Saccharomyces cerevisiae S288C: one gene and its partners. Changing the gene in region 1 together with any one later gene gives a genetic interaction. Each region holds a gene or a part of one and is shown in the gene's direction. Other genes may lie near its edges.

The links.
Region 2: mutations in CCA1 (region 1) and PPQ1 together harm fitness more than expected from each alone (negative genetic interaction), as found in Saccharomyces cerevisiae (one large-scale study listed by BioGRID).
Region 3: mutations in CCA1 (region 1) and MFM1 together harm fitness more than expected from each alone (negative genetic interaction), as found in Saccharomyces cerevisiae (one large-scale study listed by BioGRID).

The regions. Positions count from the first base shown.
Region 1 is NC_001137.3:516,114-524,292, reverse strand, and holds CCA1 (tRNA adenylyltransferase), read left to right. Parts: upstream 1-1,623; coding exon 1,624-3,264; downstream 3,265-8,179. Other genes in the region: RPH1 (Rph1p), read right to left, coding at 1-924; BCK2 (Bck2p), read right to left, coding at 3,522-6,077; aminophospholipid-translocating P4-type ATPase DNF1, read right to left, coding at 6,834-8,179. UniProt on the Saccharomyces cerevisiae protein: Nucleotidyltransferase that catalyzes the addition and repair of the essential 3'-terminal CCA sequence in tRNAs, which is necessary for the attachment of amino acids to the 3' terminus of tRNA molecules, using CTP and ATP as substrates. tRNA 3'-terminal CCA addition is required both for tRNA processing and repair.
Region 2 is NC_001148.4:203,835-212,289, forward strand, and holds PPQ1 (protein-serine/threonine phosphatase), read left to right. Parts: upstream 1-4,322; coding exon 4,323-5,972; downstream 5,973-8,455. Other genes in the region: CTI6 (Cti6p), read left to right, coding at 1-1,107; TCO89 (Tco89p), read left to right, coding at 1,414-3,813; nuclear cap-binding protein subunit CBC2, read left to right, coding at 8,324-8,455. UniProt on the Saccharomyces cerevisiae protein: Phosphatase involved in the regulation of protein synthesis. Affects translational accuracy.
Region 3 is NC_001148.4:430,456-438,247, forward strand, and holds MFM1 (Mfm1p), read left to right. Parts: upstream 1-4,067; coding exon 4,068-5,309; downstream 5,310-7,792. Other genes in the region: protein translocase subunit TIM50, read left to right, coding at 1-914; YPL062W (uncharacterized protein), read left to right, coding at 1,440-1,844; aldehyde dehydrogenase (NADP(+)) ALD6, read left to right, coding at 2,133-3,635. UniProt on the Saccharomyces cerevisiae protein: Mitochondrial inner membrane magnesium transporter required for mitochondrial magnesium homeostasis. Modulates the conductance of the MRS2 channel.

The DNA.
Region 1 (8,179 bases):
GACAATTTCATTGCATCGTATGCCATTTTCCTGCAGCAGTTTGGGCGAAGCCAAAAACATTTTATGTCTTAAAAATTCAGGACAATTTTTGGCTTCTTCGGGAAATTGCTCCTGCATGAATTTGTAGAATTTGAACCTATCCTCTTGCGGTATCGAATACCACTGTTTTGGGGCACCGAAATGAATATAATTTATGGAATACAGGTCCTGATCTTCCAAGTGCCAAGAAAAAGAAGCCTTCCATAGACCAGCGTATAGATAGGAGTCATTCACCCCAGGAACCTTTGTTTCCATATGGTCCAAGATGTTCGGTAGTTTGGCAACATTCCAAACGTTCAGCCCTTCAGGAAAGATTGATCCTGGTGTATCTGCGCCGTACATAGGCGTAGTAAAATTTAGCGTTTTCCAATAATACTCTTCCAAGAACTTTAATCTCTCCGTATTTTGGAAGTCAGATAAATCTATTGTATACTCCGTCCTGAACTGTTCAAAATCATCAATATTAAAAGACGATTCAAAATTTTTCAGTTTCAACTTCGTGGATTTGGAAACGGAGCCTTTCCTAGAATTACGTCTTGCTTTAGGATCCTCCGGAGGCACATAGTCCTTAGAAAGATCTTTCCACTGTATAATGTTATAGGTCTTGTTTTTCTCCACGTTCTGCACCATAAAAAGACCTTTATTACCAGAAATATGCTGCTGAATAGGTGATTTAATCTTGATCTTTTGGAGCGTTTCCGCAGAATAAGGCAGATCTAATTTGTCTTTCCATTCTTTAGGTGGGATTACTTTCACAACACCACTTTTCATGCCATATTTGTTTATGGCCTTGCAGTATGCATAGAAATCTTCGAATTGCTCGTATGTGGGTTTGAAGACGGGCACTCCGCCCACGATTTCTGAAGGAGCGATTAGTTTCGTCATGATTTCACGCAACTGAATATCCTCACCAAGACAGTCTTATTCTTTTTTTCCCTTTTTTTTATCTGTTTATTTTTCTCCAGCAGATCTATAAAATAAGTGGTACTAATAGAAAGGTTAAGTCCCCCTATTTTAAAATAATGCTGATAGAATGATTAAATTGGCCGCTTGATGAAAACCGCAAGTAGCTACTTCAGGGACAAGCAACGCCTTCGATGCGAATATATGTTTTGCTGATAACGATCTATGTACAGCGTCTGCAATTCTCTTAAAATTATCGCCTTGCCATTGTTACTTAAGGAGTCTATGTGATTAATTGCATGGCGATGAGGTTACCCTTGAAAAATATAGAAAAGATTTTTCCGAATAAAAAGAAAGTAAAACTAAAAAAAAAAAAAAAATGGAAAAAGAAAAAGAAACGTTTAGGGGAGAGGAGGGCTGCGGTTAAGGCTTATGGGGTGTATGGGCGGGGGAAATAGGGCATACTTTCTCGATTCACCAAACCCTTAGGTCATCTGATTTTTAGGGTTGTGTTCTTGTCGTTACTCAGCCCTAAAAAACATTCGTTAGGGTTGAAAAGTTGAAAAATGAATCGCAAAAATCTACCATATTAACAATGTACTAAAGGAAACTACATAATACATCGCAACGCTTCCCTCGAGATTAATTCGTATCCGTGGGTTATAAGGGCTTTTTTTGTGTATGCTACGGTCTACTATATCTCTACTGATGAATAGTGCTGCTCAGAAAACGATGACGAATTCTAATTTTGTTCTAAATGCACCCAAAATCACCTTAACCAAAGTGGAACAGAACATCTGTAACTTGCTGAACGATTATACAGACTTGTACAATCAAAAGTACCACAATAAGCCTGAGCCATTGACTCTTCGGATCACGGGCGGATGGGTGCGTGACAAGCTTCTGGGACAAGGTTCTCACGACTTGGATATTGCCATCAATGTGATGTCAGGTGAGCAATTTGCTACTGGTTTGAACGAGTATTTGCAACAACATTACGCCAAATATGGAGCCAAGCCTCATAATATCCACAAGATTGACAAGAATCCCGAGAAATCCAAGCATCTGGAAACTGCCACTACTAAGCTCTTTGGCGTTGAAGTGGATTTTGTCAATTTAAGATCTGAAAAGTATACTGAACTTTCCAGGATACCTAAAGTGTGCTTTGGCACACCCGAGGAAGACGCTTTAAGAAGGGATGCTACATTGAACGCTCTTTTCTATAACATTCATAAAGGTGAAGTGGAAGATTTCACCAAGAGAGGTCTGCAAGATCTAAAAGATGGCGTTCTCCGTACTCCGCTTCCTGCAAAACAAACATTTTTGGATGATCCCTTGAGGGTTTTGAGGTTGATCCGTTTTGCTTCTAGATTCAACTTTACCATAGATCCGGAAGTGATGGCTGAAATGGGCGATCCTCAGATTAATGTTGCATTCAATTCAAAAATTTCTAGAGAGCGAGTTGGTGTGGAGATGGAGAAAATATTAGTAGGACCAACCCCTTTATTGGCTTTGCAGCTGATTCAAAGGGCTCATCTTGAAAATGTTATCTTTTTTTGGCATAATGATAGCTCCGTCGTAAAATTCAACGAAGAGAATTGTCAAGATATGGACAAAATTAATCATGTATACAATGATAACATACTAAACTCACACTTGAAAAGTTTTATTGAATTATATCCAATGTTTTTAGAGAAGCTTCCTATCTTAAGGGAAAAAATTGGTCGTTCGCCAGGATTTCAGCAAAATTTTATATTGAGTGCGATCCTGTCCCCCATGGCTAATTTACAAATAATCGGGAACCCAAAGAAGAAAATTAACAACCTGGTTTCGGTGACAGAAAGCATTGTGAAGGAAGGATTGAAGCTGAGTAAAAATGATGCAGCAGTTATTGCCAAGACCGTAGATTCAATATGTTCATATGAGGAAATACTTGCTAAGTTTGCAGATCGTTCCCAGCTAAAAAAATCCGAAATCGGTATATTTCTACGGAACTTTAATGGCGAATGGGAAACAGCACATTTTGCATCTCTATCAGATGCATTTTTAAAGATTCCCAAGCTTGAAACTAAAAAAATTGAATTACTTTTCCAAAATTACAATGAATTTTATTCTTACATATTTGACAATAATTTGAATAATTGTCATGAACTAAAACCAATAGTGGACGGAAAACAAATGGCAAAACTACTTCAAATGAAGCCAGGTCCATGGCTGGGTAAAATTAATAACGAAGCGATTAGGTGGCAGTTTGATAATCCTACAGGGACTGATCAAGAATTAATAACTCATTTAAAAGCCATACTACCAAAATACCTGTAGTAGCTTATTAGTATACATAAGACATGTAGAACAAGAATGCATAAATAACTTTCTGTTACCTTATTGAAAAGAAAAAAATAAAAAAAATGAAAACGAAAATGAAATAATATCTCTAGTAGTTATTCTATGGTGTATGATAACTAAACATATTTATTAGTTTTTATATACTCTATTCAAAATTTTTTACCAGTTTTTAACTTTTTCGAAAGATATCTGTTACTATTTTTGAACTTTTTTTTTTTTTTTTCATTCCTTTTTTAGTTGCTATTATCAAAATAAAAAGACTGTAAATTATTATCAATGTCGTTATTTGCAATTGGTGCTGCATTTTGATTATTTGAGTTTTCCACAGATGAGTTCGCCTGATACTGTGGAACGAAAGTATGACCATCGTAAAAATTTCTTTCACTGTTGTTTGAAACGTTTGAGCCCATCAGGTCGCCTAATGAAACAGTTGCTGAAGTATCCGGAGATATATTTCCAATGTATGTATCCGCAGACTTGGGTTCATTCATGTTGATGGCGCTGTTGCTGTTGTTATTGCTGTGGCCCATCTCACCTAGTAGCTTCGATTGCTCATGGAAAAACGACTCTGGGTTTTCAAAATCGAACTCGGTATACACTTGCAAATTAGTCTTTGTTGTATCAACATTGTTTGGTGTTGAGCCACTGTAAGAAACGCGATTTCCGGTATTATTATTGGATTCTGATCGAGAAGCGTGTTTCCATTGAGATCTAATAAAATGATCGAGGTTTGCATCACTCAATCCCAATCCCGTATTTACCAATGTATACTTATCTTGATCTTGAAAGTAGTTTCCGGTCGCGTTGCTTGTTGTAGTGGATATTGAGTTCGTCATAACAGAATCTACGATGCTGCTACTAGTTGTACTACCGTGTGGCATCAAAGAGTTAAAATCTAAACTGTCATCCTTTCTGTGAGTATCCATCCCCATAATATCCCTTCTTTGGAAGTGTGCCGTATTCGGAATATCTTGTACTAGGACATCCTCTTCTTCATTTTCTTCTAACGTGGATCTAGGTATACCTTTTAGTGCCGGTATATTCTCCATTGGAGTATTGAAAGCAGAGAATTCCCCACTAGCGTCGTTTTCGTTACTGTATTCTTTGTCAAATGAGGAAAAATTGCTAGATGGGCGATAACTTGTAACAGTACTGGTACTTGGAACAAAGTTCATATTGTGTGTTTCAAGCACATTTGGAGTTGAAGAAGCAGATGCAGAACTTGGTAATGTGTAACCTGTCATGTAGTAAGGAGGAGTCACCAGAGAAGATGAAGGTGTTGTAATGTACGAATTAGAATGTTGAATTCTTTGAGCATCAGAGATAGATTCTTGTTTCTTCCTATGCCCTCCTTTGACACTGCCACTTTTATGCTGTGGTTGGCCATCCAAGAATATTTCGTTAACTGGGGTTGTACTATCCATTTCTGGTAGATCAGTGACGCTTGGTAAAGAATTAAGGTCTCTGGATAATCTATAAAGGGAAGACCCACGAGTTGCGGATCTTGCTCTTCCTGGCGATGCAACTCTTATTGGTGAATAACGATTTGACATGGATGATAATGAGCCAACTGAAGTGGTTCGCTGAGTTGGCAATTTATTAACTTTTATATTTGATTGCTGAATAGTTTGTGCAATAGTGGGTGAGGCTAGCGAACACGTGGACCCGCCAGTGTTGGCTCGTTTTCTAGTAAACATCTTACTAAATGCAATAGAAGCGTCATTTTCTTCCGGTAATTTAACTTTACTTTGTGAGTCTCCGCAGTTGAAAGATCTTGAAGTTCTTGGTGAATCAGGTGAATGCTTTGCAAAGTGGGGTGTACTTAAATCGGAGTTCAGACTTAAAGAGGATTTATTGTTACTGTAGTTTTGATCTTTGAAGTTGAATGATTCGGTAGAATGATATAGCCCACTTTCCTGTGACTTTTGTCGGTCTGAACTCTGAGGCGCCACTTTATTGTACTTCAATCTTGTATTTTTTGTGTTCATGAGAGGTATACTTGATAAGTTGGGAGTAGAATTTGTTTCGCTTTCAGTGAACCTTGATGGCGGTTTTGCTAGTGAAGGATCATGAGTTGATTTCGGAACGACTTCTTTCTCGGAACAAAAATCGTTATTGTCAATAGGCAGATCAGTAGTGTTACCCATCATGTTTAATGATGGAAAGGACAAGTTTCCAGAGAACGGAGTTTTACCGTTTAGCCTATTGTGTTTTAAGAACGAGTTATAAGATCTTTTGGTTGTTAGTGACGAGGCGTCGATTCCGCTTTCTGAGATAGGGGTTCCCGAAAGGGGTTTAGATTCTGAATCCATTTGAAGCACCATTGGTTGCTCTTCAACGATGTCCTCTATGTGTTCGTTCTTTGACGATCCAAATATCTTCAGCATTCTCCTTTTGGAGGATTTCTTCTTTAATTTCGCCTTTGGTGCTGGCACAGAAACCGGCTGGGTTTGCAAGTCAGTATCATTTTCGTTAGCCGTGTCCTGTACAGTATAATTGACGAAGACCATTTCACCTGATTTCTTTCTACTACTCTTCTTCGCCTTAGTATGGTTGTCTCTGGGATCCTCTAGCAAAACTTTTTTCGGGCTAGACATAACATTCATAGTAGGTAATACTGGAGTGCTACATGAGCCTGTTGAGGAGTTCCTGTCCGGCGAAGCTTGTGTGCTGCCGCTAGCGGATCTGCGATAATAGTGCGGAATTTTCCATTTATTCGTAGATTCCGTAGAACGACTCTTTGTGGAATTAACCGAACTGGAACGATGGTGGTGACTATTCTTCGGCATGTGCTATTGGTTTTGAGCGATAAATCAAGACTGCCTTGCTTCTTGTCTTAGATCTCCTTCTGAGCTTTCTTAAAAGACTTCCCTAAATGGCTGATCTGATTGTTTCCTTTATTAACAACAAATCCACTGAAAAAAAAGTCAATAATTTGATGGATATTAGCGAATGTTAACCGGAAATAGGAGTGAAAGACGTGTATTACAAAACTATGACTATGCCTGATTAATATCCTGAATAACTAGGCATGAACCTTTTTTCACGCAAATAATAACAATAGGCCTAGGATTTCTATGATATAATAAACTTTCTGTTAGTATAAAAAACTATTTTTGATAAATATAGTCTCTCACCTAGTCAAAAACATACGTATCACGGCTTGATTAATTCTTAACTCTACTTTACAACATTTCAAAAATTCCTTTGATCATGACCTTAATCAATTTTTTTGCCAGTTAGTGGAGAGTTCCCAGCGCTGGAAAGTGCTGGCGTCAGTTTTCCATCGGAAGAAAAAATTAGCCCACCATTGTGCGTCCTTGAATAATAGCGATCCGGGTTAACCGGGAGTGTTAATTATAGAACAAAGAAACCCACACGTCCGCTACTAAAACTTGCTAAAAGAAAGAGTTAACGCTGTAGTATGCATGAATTCCAAGGCTTCTAAGGCTTCTAAGGCTTCTAAGGCTTATCCAGTAATATTATGTAATATTATATATACAGTGAAAAGCGGAGTTCCATCAGCTATGGTTCGGATATCATTATTAATTGTTCTGTTGTGTTCCGATTAAGGAGGCTGCGTTAGTTACGCCTGGTAGATCTAGAGATGTTCTCGCTCTTTCCACAGAGTAGCGGTTATCTAGTTGGTTAGTGGCGATCATCTGTTCTCTTGTGCGGTCCAAGGATGACCTGACGTTGGTTGATGGGCCTCTTCCGAACGTTTGGGCCTGCTGAAATTGGGGCGATTGAAGAAGATCTTGTGTTTCCTTGGGTGAAGTCATCCAGGTTTCTTGCTTCTGATATCCGCTAGGACTTCCATCTTCACCGTGCATGAAAGTCATTGGAATCTCCTCTGTGACAACACTATCCCTTGAATAGTTCGATCCTCCTAAGTTGTCGGAAAGTGCTATGCCTTCTATAATCTTCTCTCCGTGTTGCCCAGCTTTTGTGACCTTGGGTCTGTTGGGATCTGTTGGATCGTAACCAGGAGGATAATGATCGAAATGGCCATGTTGCCACATCTCTCTTACTATTTCCACATCAGTTGGGTAGAAAAATTTTTGAAAACTGTCATATGTGAAACGGGGCAGTAAGCAGAACAGCACGGCAACAAAGAAAACAGCCCAAAATGAAGGTGCTCCATAGATACGCGCTGCAGCTTTGAAAAATTCTCTACTAGCTATCGCAGAAGACCATATTCCCGTCCATGCAAAAACTACGAGGCAAGACAGTGCAATGAATAATCCACTAAACCAATCCCATCTATATTGGTGTAATAAAACATATGTGTTACACGAAATTACAGCAATAGTGGTCACATAAACACCGACAAAATAACGATGATCCAATCCTAACCCATTGCTCGTAACTATCATATTTTTGTGATAAACCAAGTAAGGGAAAAAAAAACAGATAATAGACTGATATAATCCGTCCAACATATACCATAAGAACTTTCTTTGGTTCCATTCTTTCCTTAAAATTCCAACACGGTATAACTGAGGGACCACTAATGATATTGTGTCATTCACGTCCTGGTCCAGAATACCTAAGAAGATGACTGGTAGGGATGTAAATGCCAAATTATAGAACATCATGTATGTGTATTCATACAGGTAAGACCCATCAAAATCATTATAGATACCATACCAGAACAATGCCAAAGCAAAAATCATGTTTTTGTAAAAAAACTCAGGAATCATTTCTGCCAGTCTCTTATAAGACCACCTACCGTGAACGAGGACCAATCTAGCCAAATATCTGAATTGTCCAATGGCGTAGTCTGAGCACATAACAGCTTGTCGACCTTCTTCACCGGCAATACCAATACCAACATCCGCAGATTGAATCATGGCGACGTCGTTGGAACCATCGCCGATGGCTAGTGTCA
Region 2 (8,455 bases), on another chromosome or scaffold:
TATAAACCTGTGCAAGAGAAAAGGAGGCAATCAAGAAGGAAGGCACGAAGTGCAGCTGCAAGTAAATCTCATGCCGCCAATGAAGCAGAGAAAAGTCCCAGAAATACCAGCAATACCGATGATAACGTCGACGATATCGGCGACGAAGAAGATGAAGTAGAAGATGAAGCTTCGGCTGTAGCATTAGCCAAGGACGGCAACACGAGGTCAAGTAGAAGGAGGAGGAGGAATTCAATGGATGATGCTTCTACCGATCAGTATTCACTGGATCCTGGAGATAGTGATAAGAAGCTACTGGATAGAAAAAGGGCAACTTTCATGGCAAGAGAAGAAAAGCAATATCAAAGAATGCTTGAAAAAGCCTTGAAAGAAAGCAGGAGGACATCACATCAAGAAGATCCTGAAAGTTATGAAAATGATGCTGATATATACCAAGGTGATACCGACAATCACAACGGCACCACTCGATTACAAACGGATGTTATGCTAACGGAAGGCAAACCGGACTCGGTAACAAATGATGATATGAAAGAAAGCCTACGACCATCGAAAGAGCAATCAATGGAAAAAACAAATGATGTGGAAAAAGAAGCTAGTCAAGAAAAGGAATCTTCTACGGGTTCGGCGCAAGACACTGAGAAAACTGATGAACCCATCCTACCCCTAACCTCAATATCTTCTTCTGAGGATGATTCAAGGAAAGCTAGTTCGAGGGGTTCTAAAAGAGTTTCCAAACCAGCAAGAAAGGGCAACAGAACTCGTCGAAGCAATACAAGTTCAGACACCAACCAAAATAGAAGGAGTGCTGATATAGGTACCGACAAACCAGTAAAGCCCAGATTACCCCCTCAAAGGACCTCATTAAACGAAATGAGAAGAAGGGTATCCGCTATTTTGGAGTTCATTTCTAGAACTCAATGGGAATTGAGTGAAGATCAGTCTGATCGAGAGGAATTTGTACGATTCGTGGAAAACCAGCATTTCGTAGAAAAAGTTGATACGATTTACAACGGTTATAATGAAAGTCTATCAATGATGGACGACCTGACTAGAGAGTTACTACTATGGGAGAAAAAATATTCAAATAACACTAATGCCATTCAATAAACGCAAAACACTGCAATATTATTCTCAACCAAAGTATAACTGTAATGAGGCGAACAAACACATCTATACATATATATACATCTATATGGATATAAAAACGACTAATTCAACGTTGTTTTTATCAACCGAGCTTACTCTTGTACGGGTAACCGCAAGGATAGCTAGTTGCGGATGGTATAGCGATTTGGCTGGCACGATGATTAAGGAATCCAAACATCTAATGGACTAGCACATTCTATCGATTTACGGGTCAGGTAAACATAGATATTGGGATATATCATATATCCTTACTGAGTAACTATAATTATGGTTCATCGAGGAAGGACTTTGAAGTCAGACACTGATGTAACATCTCTTAATGCGTCAACAGTATCACACCAGTCAAAGCCATTTAGACAGTTTTCGACTAGGTCGAGAGCAAAGAGTAACGCAAGCTTCAAAGGTTTGCGTAGAGTTTTAACACATGATGGCACCCTGGATAATGATTATTTTAATAAGCACAACGTTTCTCAGAAATGCAAGAGTTCTGATGCACTTTTCAGAAAGCGAACGATTAGTGGGTTGAATATGACAGCTTTAACAAGAGTAAAGTCCAATCAAGGAAAAAGATCAGCATCCTTTCATAGTCCGGTGCATAATACGCTGCTCAGTCCAAAGAACAGCAGTCATTCTAATACTGGAACTGCTGGTTTCGGCCTGAAACCACGAAGAAGTAAAAGTACCCAATCTGTTCTGAGTCTTCGAGATGCGCAAGAATCTAAAAAGAGTGAATCTACTACTGACGAGGAGGTGGAATGTTTTTCGGAAGACAACATTGAAGATGGAAAGGTGAATAATGATAAAGTAATAGCCGAGCATGTTATGCCTGAAGAAAAAAAGAATGTGCAGCAATTAAATCAGAATGAATTACAATCCCCGGATTCAATAGATGAACAAGAAGAAGATAAATCAGGTACTGATGGAAAGGAAAATCATAGAGCTGTATCCTTACCATTACCTCATTTATCTTCCAATAACTATTTCGGAGAATCAAGCCATTCTATAGAACATCAGAAAGATGGAGAAACATCTCCAAGCTCAATTGAAACAAAACTGAATGCAACAAGTGTAATCAATGAAGAGGGGCAATCAAAGGTGACGAAGGAAGCTGATATTGATGACTTGTCCAGCCATTCTCAAAATTTGAGGGCCTCATTGGTTAAAGCGGGCGATAATATATCAGAAGCACCATATGATAAAGAAAAAAAAATTCTTGATGTTGGTAATACCTTAGCTGCACATAAAAGTAATCAAAAACCAAGTCATTCAGATGAACAGTTTGATCAGGAAGATCACATTGATGCCCCTAGGAGTAATTCATCAAGAAAAAGCGACTCGAGCTTTATGTCTCTTAGGAGACAAAGTTCTAAACAACACAAATTATTAAACGAAGAAGAAGATCTAATCAAGCCTGATGATATTTCTTCCGCTGGTACCAAGGATATTGAAGGGCATAGCTTACTGGAAAATTATGCGCCTAATATGATTCTCTCCCAGTCGACTGGAGTTGAACGTAGATTTGAAAATTCATCATCCATCCAAAATTCGCTTGGGAATGAAATTCATGACTCGGGTGAGCATATGGCTTCAGGTGATACTTTTAATGAACTGGATGATGGCAAATTGCGCAAGAGCAAGAAAAATGGTGGAAGATCTCAACTTGGCCAAAATATACCGAACTCTCAGTCTACTTTCCCCACCATTGCTAACATCGGTAGTAAAGATAATAATGTACCACAGCACAACTTTTCGACCTCCATATCGAGTTTAACCAATAATTTGAGGAGAGCTGCTCCTGAAAGCTTCCATGGTTCAAGAATGAATAATATTTTTCACAAGAAAGGTAATCAGAATCTACTTCTGAGATCCAACGATCTCAACAAAAATTCTGCAGCCCCGGCCTCTCCATTGTCCAACGAACATATTACATCTAGTACGAACTCCGGTAGCGATGCAAACAGACAATCCAACTCAGGTGCCAAATTTAATAGCTTCGCCCAGTTCCTTAAATCAGATGGGATTGATGCAGAATCAAGAACACAAAGAAAATTATGGTTGCAGAGGGAGAATTCTATTATGGACTTAAGTTCACAAAATGACGGTAGTGACTCTATCTTTATGGCAGGAAACATTGATGCGAAAAGGGAGTTTGAGAGAATATCCCATGAATACTCTAATGTAAAAAGATTTTACAACCCATTAGATGAAGCATTGTTGAGAGTACAACCTATAATAACGGGAAATGCAAATAATATCAGGAAAAAAAGCCATAACGATGCTCAGTCAATCGCACATTCTAGCAGTGATACAGATCATAAGGATGAGGACGATTTGCTCTTTACTAACTATGACAAAAAATTTGATGATCTTTATCCACATCTTGCAAGTGCAAAGATTCAGGCAGTGTTGTCCGGTATATGGAAAAGCGAAAGTTACTTATTTAACAAGGATGTTAATCCAATCAACAAGAATAGGACAACGAGTACAAACCACAGCGTTGGCCACACTGCTTCACAGAATGCACGTAACTTGCTGAGGGGCCCGATGGGTTCCAGCACGACTTTGCACCACCAACGCGTCATTAACTCTCTGCAGCCGACTACGAGGGCAGTGAATCGCAGGATGGAAAATGTGGGCTACATGCATACACAGCCACAACAAAGGTGAAAACAACCAACACGAAGCACACAGTTTAAAAGAGTAGCTAATGCTTTCGAGGTAAAACGCGAAGTTCGTAGAGAGCGAATATGTTTGGACACTTAAGGAACATACTATGTTTATGCACTATAAAAGGACATGTACTTCTATACGAGCTAACGAGGCGTATTTGTATAACCCGGTTAACGTAATAAATGATAAATTATCGAACAAAAAGAAAGAAAAACGTTGAATGCAACCACCGCAAATTTAGCGATTTCGCTGGATTCCGTATCTCTTAAAAAATGGCATTAGTAAATATACCTTAAACGTGTCTATTCTTTTAGCAATTTTTTGGTAAGTATTCCTCACGGACTATAAATACTATCGGTCAGAATCACTACATTCAAATTAATCTTGTTTTACCGAGTCTCTGACGTTTCATTTACAAGCTTGTCCTTACAAAAAACCTATTTTATTACTTTAGTCCATTTTCCTTTCAAGTTAGATATTGTTTTCCCTTCACTTATATTCTATTTATGAGAAGAAGCCCGTCCAGATCAAATAATAACTTTGCAGTACCGAATTGCTCAACTAATTCAAACTCTAGTCAGCAACAATTAACTACACCTTCAGATGATCTCAACAGTAACGAACCTAATGACCCAGATGATAGTAGGTCTCTACCTACTATCAAGAAATTCAATAATAAACATTCTATAAACAATTACAACACTTTAGCATCGGCCGGGAAAAACAACAACAATAAACGAGCTAGCAATGATAATTTGCTCATTCCTGGTGAGAATGCCCATAAACAGAAAATATACACTAAGGATGAAAACTTGAAGAGCTTGTACCTAGATATCGATGTTTCTGTCGCTAAAGCCCTATCCTCATCAGCAACTGCTCCGAAGCTGATCAATACCGCAAGAACTTCCTCTACTACCACTGCCACTACCTCAAATAATATCCTGACATCACCCTCTTATCGTGAATCAAATTATTCTTCTCCATCCTCATATTCTTTTTCCTCCTACTACTCATCCGCTACGTCTGCTTCCTCATCAACCTCATCATTTTTAAAATCTTCAGGGTTATCGTCCAGAGTTAAGTCTCCTTCATCTTCGGTTAAGGCAGGTTCTTTTGGTGCGCCTTCGTCCCCAACATCTGGGATACCTAATCCTAAAAGTAGCAAGAAGCCTATATTTTTGAGACGGTATTCTCATGATACCTCTTCAAATGAAGGTCTTGATATCGATGTTGCGATCGAAAAATTACTACAAGTGGGTGAGTCAAGAGAAATTACAAAAACGTCCAAAAAAAAGAACTTTCCATTCCATTCTTGGGAAATTCAACTCATTTGCTATCATGCAAGAGAAATTTTTTTGAATCAACCTACTCTTTTGAGATTACAAGCGCCTATCAAAGTTGTCGGTGATGTTCATGGACAATTTAATGATTTATTGAGAATTTTGAAGTTGTCTGGTGTGCCATCTGATACTAATTATCTGTTCTTGGGTGATTATGTGGACCGTGGTAAGAACTCATTGGAAACAATACTATTGTTATTATGTTACAAAATAAAGTACAAAGACAACTTTTTTATGTTAAGGGGTAATCACGAATCTGCTAATGTCACAAAGATGTACGGTTTCTATGATGAATGCAAAAGGCGATTGAGCTCGAAAGTATGGAAAATGTTCGTTGACGTATTTAATACTTTGCCATTAGCAGCAATTATTCAAGATAAGATCTTTTGCGTTCATGGAGGTATATCGCCCGATTTACATGACATGAAGCAAATCGAAAAAGTCGCAAGACCAACGGATATTCCTGAAAGCGGGCTGGTTACAGACTTACTGTGGAGTGACCCAGACCCTCAAGTAACTGATTGGTCAGAAAATGATCGTGGTGTTTCATACACATTTTCTAAGAGGAACGTTCTTGATTTTTGTGCTAAGTTTAAATTCGATTTAATACTTAGGGGACATATGGTCGTAGAAGATGGTTATGAATTCTTTGCCAGGAAAAAGTTTGTCACAATCTTTTCAGCACCAAATTATTGTGGAGAATTTCATAATTGGGGGGCAGTAATGAGCGTTACAACGGGTATGATGTGTAGCTTTGAACTGTTAAAGCCGCGTGCATTGAAAAATAAAAAGAAGTTATACAAAACCAAAGTGTAGCTGTTGCTAAGATTGGTTTTGCCTGGAAAGCACATTGGTTTTTAGGCCTCTTATCCTTCATTTGGAAACTTTTTGTCCTATGATTTGTTTTTTTCATTTTATTTTTCATTTTATTTTTCATTTTATTTTCATTTAGTTAACATTATTATGCAGTTATTTTTTTTTTTCCCACCTTCATGGCCTCGTTTATGTCTTTTATCAATATATTTTTTACGTTTATAAGTCATTTACTCGACTTTTTTTACCTTTGATATGCAATCATATTATTCTTCCCTCCATTATGGCTAAATAAATGATAATTATAATCTATAGTTTTCAAGCGTTCATATTTTGACAGATAAGATTATGCAACAACTTGGAAGGGCGGAAGGAAGCAAAAAGAAAACTCCGATACGGGGAGTCGAACCCCGGTCTCCACGGTGAAAGCGTGATGTGATAGCCGTTACACTATATCGGACAATAATTGGACAGAAAATTTTGTTAAAGTGTCAGCCTAATCGGCGTAATACGTATATATGTATATTATCTGCATATTATTACGATAATATACAACAAAACGGATTAAAACAATCGGTATATTTCAATTTGATATTTGGGATAAGGTAAAATAAAAACCGAAGATCAGTAAGCTCTTGTTACTTTTTTGTTGGAATAGAGGATCAAGAAGCATTTATTGCTAGTATCCAAATTATTAGTATATCATCATGTTTTCAAAAAAAAATGATGTAAAAATTGAGAAACAGTCACCAGTCATCATGAAAAGTGCACTGCAAGGATTAATAACGTAATAAAACAAGAACGACAGTACATAAACGAAAGAAGAGATAACTATATTATTGTATAGAATTATCGATTCTCTTTTAGAATTCTTTTATTCTCCAGGAAAACTACTTGTACATTCTGTTTAGCTAATATTGTAGCCTTTAACCACAATAAAATGCACTCCAAGTATAACCCAAAATTCATTGTTTTCAAATTTATATTAATGAGATATTGGTAACCTAAACATCAAAAATATTTTTACTCAAATTCTCTTTTCTGAAAACGCTGAAGGAAATGTGCAGGAAAAATGTTTGGCCATCAACTTTTATTCCTAGTACCACAACTAACGTCACATTCTATCGAGGCAAATGCTAATTGGCAACTAACACTATCTTAACGGTTTGATAATGTCAACACAAAATTCACCTATTATTACAAACGAATCTACCGGAAGTTGAAATGCCTGACAATAATCATACAATTGCATGAATAATTGCGAACAGATGGCAGCAAAGGATGAACTAATCATAATTATACATTGCCGCTGTAGGTTTCCTCCCATAAAAATCCAAATTTCCAAGAAAAAGTTCTTGTGTCTTCATACACTTAATATTGTTATCCTTCTTCAAGACCGGACTATATAAAGAAAAAATTTTGTAATGCTATTATATTTCAACTTCAAATTATTTTCTACTAGTAGACATAATGGAACTTCGCTCTCAGATAATCTATGGCGATAGATGGACAATTGACAATCTTCTGAAAGAATTTATATAATAAGATGTGACCATGACCTAAACCTGCTCACGCTCATGAAAGGATACAGGTAATTTGGCGAAACATTCCCAAGCTTCGCTGATAGACCTATCCCAGAAAGTGTCTGTTTAAAACTACAAGTATTTGCAGTTTTCGTTATCCAGTTTCGTTCAAGAGCATTAATGCACAAGCCACTTATATTATATAAATTTAAACTTTGGGAAAATATCATACACCTATTGTACCAGTAAATGTTGGAATAAAAATCAACTATCATCTACTAACTAGTATTTACGTTACTAGTATATTATCATATACGGTGTTAGAAGATGACACAAATGATGAGAAATAGTCATCTAAATTAGTGGAAGCTGAAACGCAAGGATTGATAATGTAATAGGATCAATGAATATTAACATATAAAATGATGATAATAATATTTATAGAATTGTGTAGAATTGCAGATTCCCTTTCATGGATTCCTAAATCCTTGAGGAGAACTTCTAGTATATCTATATACCTAATATTATAGCCTTAATCACAATGGAATCCCAACAATTACATCAAAATCCACATTGTCTACAGTAAAAGTATACCACTAATAGATTTGTAATTGGTGTATGAAGTAGTGTATGGTATAAACGTTAATAAGTGCTTATCAAAGTATTACCCGCTTTAACAGTTTTTGTGTTTTTTTCAAGAAAAATATTATATGTATGAATATAGAACATGAGTTTATATGGAGAAAGTGTCTCGACAGCTTTTAAAGTCCCGAAAGGACTAATATCGAATAAAAGTTGCATCCATTAATATACCAATAAATAAAGGGAAAGATGTCCCTGGAAGAATTTGACGAAGTTAAATATGATCATTCAACTAAACGCCTAGATACACCATCAAGGTACCTGCTGCGCAAGGCTAGAAGAAACCCTAACGGGCTACAAGAACTGCGTGAGTCGATGAAG
Region 3 (7,792 bases), on another chromosome or scaffold:
AGCCACCTTTCCCTGATTTACTACCTCCACCACCACCACCACCGTACCAAAGGCCATTAACTCTTGTTATCACATTGGAAGATTTTTTGGTTCATTCTGAGTGGTCTCAAAAGCATGGTTGGAGAACGGCCAAAAGACCTGGTGCTGACTACTTCTTGGGTTACCTATCGCAGTATTACGAAATTGTTTTGTTTTCATCCAACTATATGATGTACTCTGACAAAATCGCTGAAAAATTAGATCCAATCCATGCATTCGTATCTTATAATTTGTTCAAGGAACACTGTGTTTACAAAGACGGTGTGCACATTAAGGATCTGTCAAAATTGAATAGAGATTTGAGTAAAGTAATCATTATTGACACTGACCCTAACAGTTACAAATTGCAACCTGAAAATGCTATTCCAATGGAGCCATGGAATGGTGAAGCTGATGACAAATTAGTAAGATTGATTCCATTTTTGGAGTACCTTGCCACTCAACAAACCAAGGATGTTAGACCAATCTTGAACAGCTTTGAAGACAAGAAGAACCTAGCAGAAGAATTTGATCATCGTGTGAAAAAATTGAAGGATAAATTTTACGGAGATCATAAATCTGGTGGCAACTGGGCAATGACGGCACTAGGTCTCGGAAATTCCCTGGGCGGCAGCACCAAGTTCCCGCTCGATTTGATTCATGAAGAAGGACAAAAGAACTATTTAATGTTCATGAAGATGATTGAGGAAGAAAAGGAAAAAATTAGAATACAGCAGGAGCAAATGGGCGGGCAAACATTTACGCTGAAAGACTATGTTGAAGGTAACTTGCCTTCGCCAGAAGAACAAATGAAAATACAATTGGAGAAGCAGAAGGAGGTAGACGCCTTATTTGAAGAGGAAAAGAAAAAGAAGAAGATTGCTGAATCCAAATAATTTTCATGTAAACCCTCTTCTCATGTATCTACGTATCTATGTGTGTATGTAAATGTACCTGTACACTCCCCACACCCTCATTTTGTTACTGTCATGTGAATAAAACTTATGTATATTGCTAACTTACTACCACTGCACCTCCTAACATCACCATACTACGTACAAACACGCCTATTTATTTTTTCTATGTTAAATTTTAACGATGTAGACACACCTAATGATCTGATGCGCTTTGCATATCTCATATTCCTTCACTAGCATAAAAATCCAAAAAAAAAGAATATTTAGGCCGAATGGAATTATTCGTAACGTCATACGAAAAAAGTTTCAATTCGTACAATGCCTGGCATGTTCATTCGAATATAAGGCCGCCGCCTTCCAGTCAGGGTAGCCAAAAGTATAATCCCGGGTGGAAACTAAACTAAAAACCGTACTCACAACTTTCCGCGGACGCTAACAGACAAATAGACACACTATCAGGTCAGGAACTGCCGTCACATACGACACTGCCCCTCACGTAAGGGCATGATAGAATTGGATTATGTAAAAGGTGAAGATACCATTGTAGAAGCAACCAGCACGTCGCCGTGGCTGATGAGGTCTCCTCTTGCCCGGGCCGCAGAAAAGAGGGGCAGTGGCCTGTTTTTCGACATAAATGAGGGGCATGGCCAGCACCGAGACGTCATTGTTGCATATGGCGTATCCAAGCCGAAACGGCGCTCGCCTCATCCCCACGGGAATAAGGCAGCCGACAAAAGAAAAACGACCGAAAAGGAACCAGAAAGAAAAAAGAGGGTGGGCGCGCCGCGGACGTGTAAAAAGATATGCATCCAGCTTCTATATCGCTTTAACTTTACCGTTTTGGGCATCGGGAACGTATGTAACATTGATCTCCTCTTGGGAACGGTGAGTGCAACGAATGCGATATAGCACCGACCATGTGGGCAAATTCGTAATAAATTCGGGGTGAGGGGGATTCAAGACAAGCAACCTTGTTAGTCAGCTCAAACAGCGATTTAACGGTTGAGTAACACATCAAAACACCGTTCGAGGTCAAGCCTGGCGTGTTTAACAAGTTCTTGATATCATATATAAATGTAATAAGAAGTTTGGTAATATTCAATTCGAAGTGTTCAGTCTTTTACTTCTCTTGTTTTATAGAAGAAAAAACATCAAGAAACATCTTTAACATACACAAACACATACTATCAGAATACAATGACTAAGCTACACTTTGACACTGCTGAACCAGTCAAGATCACACTTCCAAATGGTTTGACATACGAGCAACCAACCGGTCTATTCATTAACAACAAGTTTATGAAAGCTCAAGACGGTAAGACCTATCCCGTCGAAGATCCTTCCACTGAAAACACCGTTTGTGAGGTCTCTTCTGCCACCACTGAAGATGTTGAATATGCTATCGAATGTGCCGACCGTGCTTTCCACGACACTGAATGGGCTACCCAAGACCCAAGAGAAAGAGGCCGTCTACTAAGTAAGTTGGCTGACGAATTGGAAAGCCAAATTGACTTGGTTTCTTCCATTGAAGCTTTGGACAATGGTAAAACTTTGGCCTTAGCCCGTGGGGATGTTACCATTGCAATCAACTGTCTAAGAGATGCTGCTGCCTATGCCGACAAAGTCAACGGTAGAACAATCAACACCGGTGACGGCTACATGAACTTCACCACCTTAGAGCCAATCGGTGTCTGTGGTCAAATTATTCCATGGAACTTTCCAATAATGATGTTGGCTTGGAAGATCGCCCCAGCATTGGCCATGGGTAACGTCTGTATCTTGAAACCCGCTGCTGTCACACCTTTAAATGCCCTATACTTTGCTTCTTTATGTAAGAAGGTTGGTATTCCAGCTGGTGTCGTCAACATCGTTCCAGGTCCTGGTAGAACTGTTGGTGCTGCTTTGACCAACGACCCAAGAATCAGAAAGCTGGCTTTTACCGGTTCTACAGAAGTCGGTAAGAGTGTTGCTGTCGACTCTTCTGAATCTAACTTGAAGAAAATCACTTTGGAACTAGGTGGTAAGTCCGCCCATTTGGTCTTTGACGATGCTAACATTAAGAAGACTTTACCAAATCTAGTAAACGGTATTTTCAAGAACGCTGGTCAAATTTGTTCCTCTGGTTCTAGAATTTACGTTCAAGAAGGTATTTACGACGAACTATTGGCTGCTTTCAAGGCTTACTTGGAAACCGAAATCAAAGTTGGTAATCCATTTGACAAGGCTAACTTCCAAGGTGCTATCACTAACCGTCAACAATTCGACACAATTATGAACTACATCGATATCGGTAAGAAAGAAGGCGCCAAGATCTTAACTGGTGGCGAAAAAGTTGGTGACAAGGGTTACTTCATCAGACCAACCGTTTTCTACGATGTTAATGAAGACATGAGAATTGTTAAGGAAGAAATTTTTGGACCAGTTGTCACTGTCGCAAAGTTCAAGACTTTAGAAGAAGGTGTCGAAATGGCTAACAGCTCTGAATTCGGTCTAGGTTCTGGTATCGAAACAGAATCTTTGAGCACAGGTTTGAAGGTGGCCAAGATGTTGAAGGCCGGTACCGTCTGGATCAACACATACAACGATTTTGACTCCAGAGTTCCATTCGGTGGTGTTAAGCAATCTGGTTACGGTAGAGAAATGGGTGAAGAAGTCTACCATGCATACACTGAAGTAAAAGCTGTCAGAATTAAGTTGTAATGTACCAACCTGCATTTCTTTCCGTCATATACACAAAATACTTTCATATAAACTTACTTGGTCTTACGTCATAAATAAATATGTATACATATAAATTAAAAAATTTGGTTTTATATTTTTACAAAAAGAATCGTTTACTTCATTTCTCCCTTTTAAGCGATACAATCCATGAAAAAAGAGAAAAAGAGAGAACAGGCTTGTGCCTTCTTTAAAACATCCCACACAAAATCATATTGAATTGAATTTTACATCTTAAGCTAGTGTACAACAACTGCTATATCCAAAGAAAACTAACGTGGACCGCTTTTAGAGTTGAGAAAAAGGTTTGAAAAAAATAGCAATACAAAGACTTGTTTCATATATAAAATACAGGGAGCACATTGAGCTAATATAACATAAACACTGCGAACCAATTCCAATCAAAAGGTACACATGAGAGCATTCCCCCGAGTACTGCCATTTCGCCATCAGAGATCATATAATAACATCCTTCTTCGAACAGTAAGGCTTTTTGGTTCATCACTTTCTTCTTTTGATTTCTCTAGGCAAATGCCTAAGGTGGACCCTGACAATACCGCTGCAATGCTACTACAGAAAAACTTGATCCAAAGAAACAACATGCTCTATGGGTATGGATCAGGGACAATACGATGTACTTTGCTAGACTCAACTGGACGAGCCAAATCACCATTAGTAGAGATAAAACGTGAGGATCTAGTATCAAAACATGGCTTGTTGCCCAGAGATCTACGTAAAATTGAAAAATCAAGGAAGAATGACTTAGTCCCTAGTTTGCTCGTGCGAGAAAATTCCATACTAATCAGTTTACTTACTGTGAAAGCCCTAATTAAGCCTGATATGGTTATTATCTTCGATTCAGCCGGCAGTGGAATAACTTTAAACTCAGAAGCTCACAAGGATTTTATTAACGATATGAAATTGAGACTAAAAAATCAAGAAACAAGCGAGCTAAATAGCGATCCACTTCCTTATGAATTCAGAGCTTTAGAAACGATCTTCATTTCGGCATTATCTAACCTTACCAGTGAAATGAAGGTGTTGCTAACCATATGCAAGGGGGTGCTTCAAGATCTAGAATTTAGTATAACAAGAGATAAATTAAGGTTCTTACTGGGTCAAAACAAAAAATTGAGCAGCTTCAATAAAAAGGCTGTTCTAGTTAAAGATATGCTGGATGACTTGCTAGAGCAAGACGATATGCTTTGTGATATGTACTTAACCGACAAAAAGGCTGGAAAAATTAGAGTTCAAGATGATCATACTGAAATTGAAATGCTTCTGGAAACATATCATAACTATGTCGATGAAATAGTTCAGAAAAGCGAAAGCGCCATATCTGACGTGAAAACCACAGAAGAAATCATCAATATAATCCTAGATTCTAACAGAAACGAATTAATGCTGTTAGGGATAAGATACGCCATAGGAATGCTTTCGTTGGGAGGCGCTCTATTCCTGGGTTCTATCTATGGTATGAATCTGGAAAGTTTCATAGAAGAAAGTAATTATGCGTATTTAACTGTCACCATTTTGGGGTTAATATCTACTGTTTGGCTCTATGCGAAGGGAATCAGACATTTGCATAAATTACAACGTATGACATTATTGAGTAAAATAAAAACAGATTCCGTTCACGAACTGTTGAAGAAATAGTTATCACGAAGAGTCAATCAATCTTTTTAATACGCATTCAAATGAATAAGAACAACTTTCACTTTTTTAAGTATATAAAAAGCCGTACAGGCGAACGTATATAATTAAAATTCTTTGGAAAAAAAGAAAGCTCGCACTCAGGATCGAACTAAGGACCAACAGATTTGCAATCTGCTGCGCTACCACTGCGCCATACGAGCTTTTGTTGTATAGTTTTAAGGCAATAGAATAATAACACTTATCCACGCAACAGTAATGTGGTTAAATAATAACTTCCTGTCAGGACTTGTGGTTGATTGGTGAAAATCAAATATCATGCTGACTACTAGAAATATTAGCAGTATATTATCATATACGGTGTAAGAAGATGAGATAAGGATTGAGAAACAGTCATCAAGTTTAATGAAAGTGAAATGAAAGGATTGATTATATAATAGGATAATGAATCACAAAGTATAAAAAGAAGGAAGAAAAAATGATATCATTGAGAAATTGATGAATTTTGAGATAATTGTTGAGATTTAATTGTTGATAAAGGCAATAATATTAGGTATATAGAATATACTAGAAGTTCTCCTCGAGGATATAGAAATTTTCAAAGGGGAATCGATTTTTCTACAAATAATATTACTATTATTCCTCCTTCCGTTTTATATGTTTCATTATCCTGCTATATTATCAATCGTTGCATTAATCGTTGAATTTCAACTTACTCGAACTTCGATGACAGTTTCTCATCCCTTATGTTATCTTCTTACACTGTATGTGATAATATACTGGTAGTATGACTACTAGTTGATAGACGATAGTTGAATTTATTCCATAAATTATTTATGTAAAACTGCCGACCCCTTTTGTCGATTTCTATATTCTCGAAGAGAACTTCTAACATTTTCTGTATACCTGATATTATAGTCTTTAACAACAACGGAATCCTCACAGTTATCTACGATTCATCTATTTCTCATCAGTAACAAAGATATTTCAGTAGTTATTTTATATAATTCATGCGTTTCACACATAGAGATGGTTTCTTAAGTTTAGAATGACGTATTTAGCTATAATAAAATGTTTCATTGTGGGATAAAAACTTGTGGGCCATGACATGAGCAAATTTATTATCAATGTTGATAATTAGAGGTAAAAAATTAGTATTAATGAAGAAGTGAGTACTGATCTTCTTATACTAAATAAGAGAGGTATATAAAACACACGCCGATTGGTCATATTAATCATGACCAATATAATAGTGGTTCCGGTAGTTACTATACATTGATGTGACGACTCATATTCCTCATATATGTACCTACCATATCATGTTCAACTAATAGGTCTTTAACACAGCTTCAGTATTGTCTGAGCTTCTCGTTTAACATTCCTTCTGCAATAGGCGCAATCACACTTAAACGTATACGAGTTGTACATTAATATACGATGTAAGCATTAGATTGTTACCATAGCAACTCATGTCACTATTAATTACTCTCGTTCCAACATGCTCCCTTAAAGATATATTATTGTACTTCAACAGATATTCATTGTGTGTTTAGAACTTCATTAATTAATTATCAATAGTCTGTTGAGGCCAAAATATCCTGTGATGTTATTTTATTTTTTAATACTTGTATAAATCTTTTAAAATCAGATGCTGATACTGGTTTTGTTAGTAAATCAGCAATATTACCTTTGCCGGTAATTTTTAACAGTTTTATACTCTTCTCTTTAATTTTTTCTTTTATTATTTCAGTTTTTATCCAAGTGAATTTCTCTTTTGGTTGTTGATAGCTGCGATTTAATCCTTGAATGGCTGGCTTTGAGTCAGTGATCATGACAATGTCATTATTGTCTCCTTCTCCTAGCTCCTTTAATGTTACCTTCAACGTTTCTGAGTCTGCATAGCCTTCATAAATGGCATGAAGCTCTGCTTCTGTTGATGATACACATCTGTTTGTGCTCTTGTTAGAATAAACATTAAAAATATTCATACCGTACCATAATATAACTCCAATCCTTGATTGAGCATCATATTCTGATCCAACTGATGCATCAGTTATAGCAATAACCTTCTTGTCTTTATTACAGTCTCGGTCATAGTGTATTCCAATATCTTTATACCGAACCAAGTACTGGATTATTTTGTAAATCATATAAAAGACTCTTTCATGTGGGTAATTTACTAGTCTAGCCACTTTCTTAACAGCAAAATTAATGTCGTATCTGCATTTGTGTCTGACATAGTTTAGTTCACCTAGTAATTGTTGTAGCTTTAGAACACCTTGTCTAAACTCTTCTTCTGACATTTGCAGTACGTCTTTCTTAGGATCTATTTTATAAGTTGACATATGCGGAATTGAACTTTTTCTAATCTTTTTCAATTCCTCGTTGTATTTTTTATCCATTCTATTTATGAATGATTTTAATGTTAAATCGATAGTACCAAGTCTTTTGTTGTATACTAGATCCATTCCTAATATATCTGTATC